Canis lupus familiaris: one gene and its partners. The protein of the gene in region 2 purifies or fractionates together with the protein of the main gene of each other region. This does not show direct contact. Links are inferred from orthologs where the notes say so. Each region holds a gene or a part of one and is shown on either strand. Other genes may lie near its edges.

The links.
Region 1: the proteins of RNGTT (region 2) and SUPT5H purify together in Homo sapiens (affinity purification with mass spectrometry; 3 studies listed by BioGRID and IntAct, with this or other methods). This does not show direct contact. The link is inferred for Canis lupus familiaris from reciprocal best matches to the Homo sapiens genes RNGTT and SUPT5H.
Region 3: the proteins of RNGTT (region 2) and PPP4R3A purify together in Homo sapiens (affinity purification with mass spectrometry; 3 studies listed by BioGRID and IntAct, with this or other methods). This does not show direct contact. The link is inferred for Canis lupus familiaris from reciprocal best matches to the Homo sapiens genes RNGTT and PPP4R3A.

Annotation. Positions count from the first base shown.
Region 1 is NC_049222.1:114,552,066-114,555,565, forward strand, and holds part of SUPT5H (transcription elongation factor SPT5), read right to left. Parts: coding exon 3,457-3,500; intron 3,230-3,456; coding exon 3,136-3,229; intron 3,044-3,135; coding exon 2,907-3,043; intron 2,448-2,906; coding exon 2,292-2,447; intron 2,196-2,291; coding exon 2,049-2,195; intron 1,225-2,048; coding exon 1,078-1,224; intron 992-1,077; coding exon 866-991; intron 2-865; coding exon 1-1. UniProt on the Homo sapiens protein: Component of the DRB sensitivity-inducing factor complex (DSIF complex), which regulates mRNA processing and transcription elongation by RNA polymerase II.
Region 2 is NC_049233.1:48,159,525-48,162,666, forward strand, and holds the end of RNGTT (mRNA-capping enzyme), read right to left. Parts: coding exon 2,993-3,142; 3' UTR 501-2,992; downstream 1-500.
Region 3 is NC_049229.1:62,651,110-62,654,609, forward strand, and holds part of PPP4R3A (serine/threonine-protein phosphatase 4 regulatory subunit 3A), read right to left. Parts: coding exon 3,267-3,500; intron 1-3,266. UniProt on the Homo sapiens protein: Regulatory subunit of serine/threonine-protein phosphatase 4. May regulate the activity of PPP4C at centrosomal microtubule organizing centers.

The DNA of each region.
Region 1 (3,500 bases), on a different chromosome or scaffold from region 2:
GCTAGGGAAGGGACAAGAAGTGAACTGGCTGGCAGGGCCTGGGTGATAGACTCCTGGCCCCCATGCCACTGCCTGCCTCCTGCTTGAACAGCCTGGCAGCCATCTCTCCCAACTCCTAGTGACAATGCCTCGATTTCCCTTTGGGGAAACTACCACCCCTGTGCCAGTGTGGGCCTGTCAATCAAGAGGCCTGGTCCTCCCCTGGCCAGGACTTTATGGCCCCGGTGACCTAAAAACTGCAAATCAGGAGAATTTCTCAGCCCAATGTTTAGGGCTGTGAGGACCACCTCCTGGTCCCAGCTCCCCAGATCCAGGGCCTGATTTCCTTTCCAATACTTGGTTCTGCACAGCTTTCCTACATGTTCTAACTCAGAGCCCCTGTATCTGCTGCTCCCCAGAGACAGGCAGCTCTGGGCCCCTTCATTCGGATCTCTGCTCAGGTGTCACATCAAAGACACCTTTCCCTGATGACCCCCATCTAAAGCAGCAACCCCGTTATTCTCTCCCCATTGTCTCTCTCCCTATCCTGTTTAACCTTCCTTCAATTGCCTATCATCACCTCACACTGTACGATGTACGTATATATTGATCTGTTCGTCTCTGGGGTAGCATCTCTAGAAGGGCAGAGACTTTTTGTTCATTATTCTATCTCCAGTGCCAGGCATCTAACAGGTGCTCAATAAAACAGAATGGATGAATGATTTGATTAAAAGCTCAGAATCCCAGTAAACTCTACCAATGACCTGAGCCTGACATCCGCTCTCCTAACCCTCCACAAGCCAGTTCTTGTCACTGCGGGGGCCAGAGAAGGCTGGAGAGCTGAGCCAGGAACCCAAGAGCCAGGAGGCCATCACACCCGCCTCACCTTGGAGCCCCCTGCCAGGACGAGGTGGCGGGTCTTGCAGACAAACATCCCCCCGTTCTCCACCAGTTTCTTGCAGTGCAGAAAGGCAAAGCTGCGGAAGAGATGGCGAATTTCGCCCTCCCGGCCCTGAGTGGGGAAAGGACGGTCACTCTCATGGCCATGCCCACCCCAGCAATTTCAGGCGTGGTCAACAGGCAGGAGGTTATACTCACTGAGTGGGGGCCATCAATGACCTTGACGATGTCTTTCACATGGATGTTATTCTGTTCTGAGTCCAGGGCCACAGCAAAGCGGTTGTCCTTCTTTCGTGTCACAGCCTGGTGTCTGACAGTCACCACCTTCCCATACATGTTCAGCACCTATGGAGGGAGGGGGGGATGCTGAGCTGTGAGAGTAGAAAGAAGCGAAGTGGAGTAGGGCTTTCCTAAGGTGGAATGATCCTTCCTTGTGGGAAACCATCTCAAGCTCTGCGGAAATCTAGCCTCCTTGGCTCTGAGGACACTGCTGCCGAGGCACTGCATCAAATAAAAATGTTCCCAATCATTTCAAAACACTTTTGGGAAGACACTCCATCAGAGACCTGAAAAATGGGTAAAGGAGTAAATATTAACATAATTTTTACCCATCTCTGTGTGCCAGGTCATGTACTAAATTCTTCACACAACATTTCACTGAAGCCTCAAAACTTCCCTCTGAGATGGATGTGGTCATGATTCCCATTTTACAAGGGGGCGGGGGGGCAGATCTCAGGCCCAGAGAGGGCAAGTCACGAGCCCAGGGTCATACAGCATGGAGCAATAGGACCAAGATATGAATCCAGAGTCCAGGGTCCTAAGCATTAGGACTCTGACTCCCACGTCCACTGGGAAGAGATGGAGGAAAGGAGAGCACCTGCAGCCCCCAGCCCTTGAGCAAGCACCTGTGTTTACAATATTTGATCTCAGGGCTTCAACGAAATACATGATACCGATATCTCCATTTTACAGGGTATGAAACAAGTACAGAGAGGGTAATGACATGCCACCTGCCCAACACCACACAGCCAGCCACGGCTGACAGAGTCAGATCTGCCACTCAGAGCAGTGTGGATCTTAGCCACCACGATCTGCCACCTCCCTAGGATGAGGAGCTCAAGGGAGAGGAAGGAAGGCAGGCCCCACCACTGAGTACAACACACACACACCTGGAAGGTCTCTCGCTCCAGTCGCACGATGACACCCACGGTCTGGGGGTCCAGCTGCACCAGCTCCCCCCACTCATGCTGGCCCCCCACATCCACACCCGACGCCGTCTCTGAGCAGAGCTGCAGGTCCCGGGGGAGCACCTTCAGCTGTGGGAAACAGGAAAGGGTGAAGCAGGGTCCAAGTGGCTCTTTAGCCTGGGTCTCATTAGGCACGTTCCACCTCGACCCCAGTCCCCCACTTACCTCGTGCATGGTGAGGTCAGAGAAGAGGATAACAAAGTTCTCCTCCACTCGCACAATGAGGCCTGTGTCACCCTCAAATCGACCAGCAATCACCTTCACGTGGTCCCCCATTTTAAAGTACTTCCGGAGCTCCTGGGCCGGGAACTCCAGCATGTCCTGGGGATTGGGTATGGGGACACTGAGCAGGTCAAGAAAAGCTACTATGGCCCACCTGCTTCCCCATCTCCAGAAGCCGCTCATATTCTCAGAAAAGACCTTGCCAAAACCCACTCCAGACTTACACTACCCAATCACAGACTCCTTGCACAACCCTCAGACTGCCCTAGAGACAGCTCACCTCAGACTCAGGAAATCAGCCTGGATACCCCTTTACTCCACACACAGAAAGCCTACCCCCAAAACATACGACACAGACTAAACACTTCCTCAGACCTAGCCAGAGAAAGCCTCACCCCAGACACATCATGCTAGCCTGGACAAACTCTCAAAACAGACAGACAGACACAGACACCCACACCCTTAAAGCAAACTAAAACCAGGCAGCCAGCTTAGATTATGCTATGATGACACCATGCTCTCAACCCAATACGCACATATGGGCCGTGTGGTACCTACCTTGAGGTCCTCGTGCTTGGGCATGATGGTGATCTTGTTGCCATCCACGCTGAGGATCTTGCCCTGCAGGTTGATGAGCTCACCCTCACACACCTCCACATTGTCCCCAGGTTGGAAGTTGTGTTCCCGCTCCTTCCCTGCAGGGACAGATGCCGGGTTGATGTGAGGGCTGCCTGCCACAAGCCACCCCGTCCTCTGGAGGCCTGAGCTACTGACAGGGACCAAGTACCTGTGCTCTCGGTCACCACCTCAAGGTCAATGCCCTCTGGCTGGTCCTCAAACTTCTCCAGCTCGGAGAGCGTTGGCTTCACACCCTCTGTGATCTGAGCCCCAAGAGACAAAGGGAAGAGGAGGAAGTAGACGAAGGTCAGTGTCACAGCCCAGCCATGCGGGCTAGTGAGATGGTGAGATTTATTTCCCCAGGGACACTCCTACACTAACGGCTTAGCAGATTAAGCAGGAGAGACCCAGATAACCCACTGCTCTGGGACCTGGACTTGGCCTCCCTGCACCCCACCATGGTAAGCAAGATGCCCTCTGGGACCCTCACCACAGCAGACATAGCAAAGCTCTTGAAGAGAAAACCCTTCCGGC
Region 2 (3,142 bases):
CTCAAGGTCTTTTGGTTATAAAGGACTATACACATTGTTCCAAATGGCATCATTTAAAAATGAAAAATGGCAAATTCCATACTACAAAAAATCAGATAGGTCATTACTTCATTACTTTAGAGTATTTACTGCTGAAAAAATTAAATGTATTAAAAATGATGTAACAGAGTATCTACAGGGTACTAAGATGATGAGGTGGACAAATAGAAATACTACAAATATCATTTAGAGATGGGCTTTCTCCCCGCTCCCCTACACTCCAAAAAGAAAAGGTGCAAACTATACTTCCCATGTCACTTCAATTTCTTGGTTTCTGGGGAAGAAAAATAGAGGATGTTCCAAGTCTTTATGTTAATTCTAGAATGCAACAAAACCAGATGGATAACATTGGGTATGGATGACAGGCAGGATAATGTCAGCAAAAGAAAGGACACAAAATCGTTTGTTAAATAAAGGGACACAAAGGCATCACCAGCAAAACAAAGTAGATACGCTTTCTGTTATTTTAAATCAGTAGTTTTATTACAATACACACTGACACACAATTAGAGAAGGAATGTCCTGACATTTTCTGAGCATTTCACGGAAAGCAAATGTAACCATCCAGGCAGTCAAGTCATCCATATCTTTTCCAAATTCAAAGCAAAAGCTTTTATATTTGATAACTCAGGAAAGCAAAGTTTTCTTACTGTTGTCTATATAAAACTTCAGTGTCAGAAAATGGTTATTGTGAAGTGGACTGAGAAGGGAAGAGTTTCTGTCCTTCTTGCTGTCCCAATTCCTGCCTCTTGATTTCCCCCCTTGACTTTCTAGATGACTTTTTATGATACTGCAGATGATAGTGTGTTAAAGGGGCCAAATGGGATCTACTTATTAGGTCGGCTATTATACTTCACTGTAATTGAAAGGAAAGAACAAATTAAGAAAATTAAATCCTGGAAAATGCACAAAGGCAAGGAAAAAATATCTGGGTATATTAAAAATGAGATGCTCTTTTCACATAACTCATTTAAAAGGTTACAATTACCATAAACATTTTAACTCCACTGAAGATCACTGGCAAAAACTAGCTCTTATATCTGCAGAAGGACTGTGCATTATACAGGCTTGGAAGAAAACAACATACCATGTGAAACGAGTCACTAATCCTGGTGAAGCAGGCATCAGACTATTTGGAGTTGCATAGGTGTTTTTTCAGACCCACTCTGTACAAGACACTATGGAACCTTGACAAATTTCCACCTTTCAGCAGTCATTGTGGCAGTCAGGTATTTGAATCCCTTTAGTACCCAAACTCAAAAAAACACTCTAGGAATGAAATACTAAAATGACATTCTGGATACATTCACTACACATTACATAACTTGGAAAGAACAAAGGAAAAAGCCCAAGCATGACTCTAATATTTCATATAGAAAAGCGCTGCAGGAGAAAACTTTGTTTAAAAACATTAAAACTCAGGTGAATATAAATACATTTTTGGTTAATCTGTGCTATATCATATATAGAAATCCTGTCAGATATTCAGTCTGCTGGGTAACTCATTTGCATTTTTCATGTCTGATTGTTATTAGTAGAAGAATATACATTGATGCATATACTGACATATATATGCATATATATATAAAATTTAGATCATGAAAATTTGTTTTAAATACACATACTTAAAACCTGTACCTCTAAAAATAAATACATTTAGCCTCTAATAGGCTAATTCTCAGAGTTTCCTTCACAAACCAATCAGAACACAGCTTCTCAACAATGGCAAATAACCAATTAGCTGCTCTTTAAATCCATTATCTATCAGTAAATGTTTTAAAATTCAGATGTATAACAGAAATAGCATCCCCAGCACAGAACATAGATAGAATTCTGGCTTTGAAAATAAATGTCTTGGCTTCCTTGATGTTTAGTTCCTACAGATGTCTAGGCTTTGCCTCTGCATTTATCTAGCAGTGGGAGAGCATTTTCTAGTGACAGCATTCTATTCCATTGGTATTACCTTCTAATCAAAGGAGTTGGCTGGCATTTCCTTTGCTGTTTTGTTCAAGGGAACTAACACAACATCGTTTGTATTTGATATCATTCCCCATAATCACAGTGAGTTGTGTGTTTTAATGTAATTTACAATGTGCCAATACCACTGAGGTAAAGCAGAAGTACCCCTGTCTTTTTTAAAAGAAAAAAAAAAAAGTCTCCTGGGAGAACAACACATAAAAGGGACCTGGTGGTGTATATCTAAGTTCTATGAACTAACTCAAAACCACAGCCAGAATAGACACATTGGATATCTGATATTTTAGTTCAAAGAATAGAAACATGAAAATACTCAATATACTTCTTTAGAAAGTATGCAATTCACAAAAATGGGGCTTTACTTTTTTACTCTTACATTTCAAAAAAAAAAAACTTCTTAAAATGATATATGCCAGACCAAGTTGTTTAATATAGTACAATACTTAACAACCTTGTCATTTGTTTTTGAATACAAGAATCTCAGAAATGTAGGAAATCCATGATGTGATAGCAAGAATGTTTAATGCCATTGCCTATTTTTTTTTAAAGGAAAATTTACCATTGTTGAAATTCAACTTCTAAAAAATACAATGTTTTATGCGCTCACAGTTCCAGATTACTAACTTTATAAATTAAAGATAAAAGTTATCCATATACAAACAAGGCCTCTTTTTCATTGATTTCAATCTCAATTAAACCTTTGGATATTTTAATCTTCAGATTCACAAGGTAAGGCTGAGTTTATCAGATATAAATAAAATGTTTAAGGTCCACGATGTATTGTAGCACTGAGGAAACAAATGCATCAAATATTTACAGGCTGGCTACAATACTTCTCTTTTTAAAAAAAAAAAAAAATCAAATGTGTATCAACATCAAGCCACACTCTTTTTCGAATTTCTCTGGCTGCAAAAATGGGGCAACAGCATTTTTTCTCACTCATTTTTCCTCTCAATCCTTAAGTCAGAGGCAGGTCTTAGGTCAAAGGGCGAGGTCTTTTGGGAGGTGGTGGAGGCATGAGCTCTGTGTCAGGGTCCAGATGATGCTTTCGCTTCTGTCCTTGAGAAGCTGCTGCACATCTGTCGATGAACTCAAACAGCATCTCCTTGGTGACAGGGTTGGAGAT
Region 3 (3,500 bases), on a different chromosome or scaffold from region 2:
CCCACCTCTCAAAAGACGGTAAAAATTAAGATAAAGCTTCTTTCACATTTTAAAGACACAGAAAATGATTCAATTATTTAAAAAGCTAAATGCAGAGCTTTAAAAGAAACACTTATTATTTGAAGATATGCCATACAGACACACACAATATGCATTATTTTGAAAAAGATTAAAGAGGTACTCTCCTAGGATACTAATCTGGTTAAGTCAATACAGAACTTAGAACTTCAAATGTTATAACTGAGACAGTTAAGACATTTACCCAAAGACCAACTACAGGAGGTGGCAGACACCTTCCTATCTGTTCAATTTTTTTCCATTACTATTTTTAAGATTGTGTTATACTTTAATACCATACTATCTCAGCTAGTAATAGATTCAACACTAGTTCAGCCCTACAGATATGCCTAAGTCTAAATATATATATGTATATATAAATGTATGTTTATGTGTGTATGTAATCCCCCACTAGATTATAAACTCCATCTTCACTGTTGCAGGTACTTAGCAAATATTTTCTGTGATACTAAATTGGTTATTCCTACTTTTACTTTTTCTAAAATGTACAAATAAGCCATACCTCAAATGGCATGTAATTTCAAGATGATCCCAGATATAATATATCCCACCAACTGGAAATCAAAAGACTGAAAAAGAGTCTCTGAACTGCTGCATTTGGGGCTACAGAAGTTGAGAGAATAAAAATGTTTTTTAAAAAAAGAATTTTTAATAGTATTAAATACAGAGCAGTTAAAACTAAAGGGAGGGTATGACTGTGTACACAAGGGGGCTAAGAGTCTGCTTTAAATTCTATCTCAATCACCCATCATCACAAATTTATAAAATTCTCTTTCCTTCATAGCAGCACTTTGGATATAAGTACCTGCATCAAGAGAAACAACTACAGTATTGACAGCCAGGATTCACAAAGCATAATATGGGGAAACAAAGACTTAACAACTTGAAATTATTCATATTTAATGAGTAAAGCTGGCATATAACAGGTATGATGACCAAGAAACCACACAAGTGACAAATCTCTGCATAACAAAATGAGAACCACGTGGAGCTTAAGGACCAGATGCACTCAGGACTATCCAAGGAAACCAGGAATCAAAAGTGGACCAGAACAGAGGCTCTACTAGGTAGCCAGTAAAAACTAGATGCTTCTCAAAGAATAGAAAGTACCAGAATCACCTCTCTCCTCCATTATCAATCATAATACACTGTATAGAGATCACTGTTGTCCTTACCAGACTGTATTGCCTATATTACTTATTTACATGTCAGTCTTAAATGAATGGGAACCACATCAAATTAGTCAAAATGAACAGGAATTATTCCTAGCTCCAGGACAACAGTATTGGTAAAACTGATTTTTCTATTTGAATTCATGGTTTTTCTAAGATGACAAAGGCAAGGACTCTGAAAATACAGCAATTTTCTAAAAAGGAACAGCCACACAAATTAAACTCACTGCTTTATTCATAACATGTCCTACCAAACAGCTCTGACATTTATTTGCCTCTTTTATTTAAATCGAGGTTTCAAATAATTACTTTATTTGTAGATCTGAGGTAAGGTCTTAAGTCTTTCCAAGTCATATCATCTGTTATTCTTCCAATATCATTAGCATCAAGAAATAAACAACATGAGGAGGTGAGGTGTGCAACTCACAAATCTTTGCACCATGCAAACTTCAAAGTTCCATTTCAGCTAGAACAGACTAATTCCTACACTATGGGATAATATACTGAGAGGTTTTCTAACTTTGGGAATGTTACAAATGCAGATCACTGGCCAGCTCTCACAGATTTTGATTGCTGTGTTTTGTGCAGAATCCAGGAAACTACACCCTAGGCAATTCTGATACAAGCACCCTTAAAACACCAGACCTGGGGATCCCTGGGTGGCTCGGCGGTTTGGCGCCTGCCTTTGGCCCAGGGCGCGATCCTGTAGTCCCGGGATCGAGTCCCGAGTCTCCCTCCTCCTGTGTCTCTGCCTATCATTCATAAATAAAATAAAATATAAATGAATGAATGAATGAATGAATGAATGAATGAATCTAAGAAAAACAAAAACAAAAACACCAGACCTGAGAGACTGGGCATATTGTAGAAAGAAAATTTGGAGCTTAATATAGCAATTATTTATTTTCTTTAATATTTATTTATTTATTTATGAGACACAGAAAGGCAGAGACACAGGCAGAGGGAGAAATAGGCTCCCCACAAGGAGCCTGATGTGGGACTCAATGCTGGATCCCAGGATCACGCCCTGAGCTAAAGGAAGATGCTCAGTCGCTGAGTCACCCAGGCTCAGTAATATAGCAATTACTAAAAGATACTTTAAAATAATCCTCGGGGTGCCTGGGTGGTTCAGCTGGGTTAAGCCTCTGACTCTTGATTTGGGCTCAAGTCATGATCTCAGGGTTGTTGCATGCTGAGCGTGCAGCCTGCTTAAAAGTGTGCATGTGTGTGTGTCTCTCTCCCCCTCTACTCCTCCCCCCACCTCCACTTGCACACATGGGTGCTCCAAAATAATGCTCAAGAGTCTTGCACTGTGTTCATGCATGATCTTCTTTAATTTTCAGATGACTTACAGGGTTGATACTAATATCACCATCCTTCAGATCAGGAAGCTAAAGCTTCTTAAAAGGTTAAGAAAATTGCCCAAGTCACATAGCTATTAAATAACAAGAGCCATAGCTCCTTACTCACATCCAACTTCCCCATACTCTCATCTGGTACAAAAGCATGCCTTTTGGTAAGGAGACCTGCAACTATAATTTTCCAATATCTGCTGTATTCCCTTGACCCTAAAACTAAACCTTTAATATTAATGATCTGACAGTGCTACCAATTCTACAGATTTATATTCTGTATTTAATGACATACTTCTTGTCTCATTATACCTTTCTCTTTGAATCCACTCTATGCATAATTGACATATCAATATACCTAAAATTCTACATTCATTTGTTAAGAACATTCATTCCCTCTAATTTCTCCAAGCTAGACTTCTTTATCACATTTACGTTCCCTGCTGGAAACCTAACAACCTTCTGGTCCCACAGTAGTATATATTATAATCTCTTCTAATATCAACCAAAAACTTACCCTTAGACAGAAATCAAAACTCAATTTAGGTATTTAAAAGGAACAGAAATTCCTTCTGCTAAATCAGTTAACAGATTAACTGATTACTGCTAACAGTTAATGGGATCAAGAAGGTATCTTTGTAAGTAGGAAAAAGATCTAACTCACCTGTAACATACCAACAATTTCTACCTTATTGAAAAAGATAAAGGAGTGAAGTGTTGATAACATATTTTCTTCAAAGACCGAGGGAGTAGGTAGAACCATATCCTGGATATACTGAACTCGGTACGTCTGATGAATTTTTTGTTTCAGCTCAGGATCTGATATGGGAATCACTTCTTTAAACTTAGCTGTTTTTGTTAGAAATTCCCTGTGTTTTCGTGGTTGTGATAAAGCAGG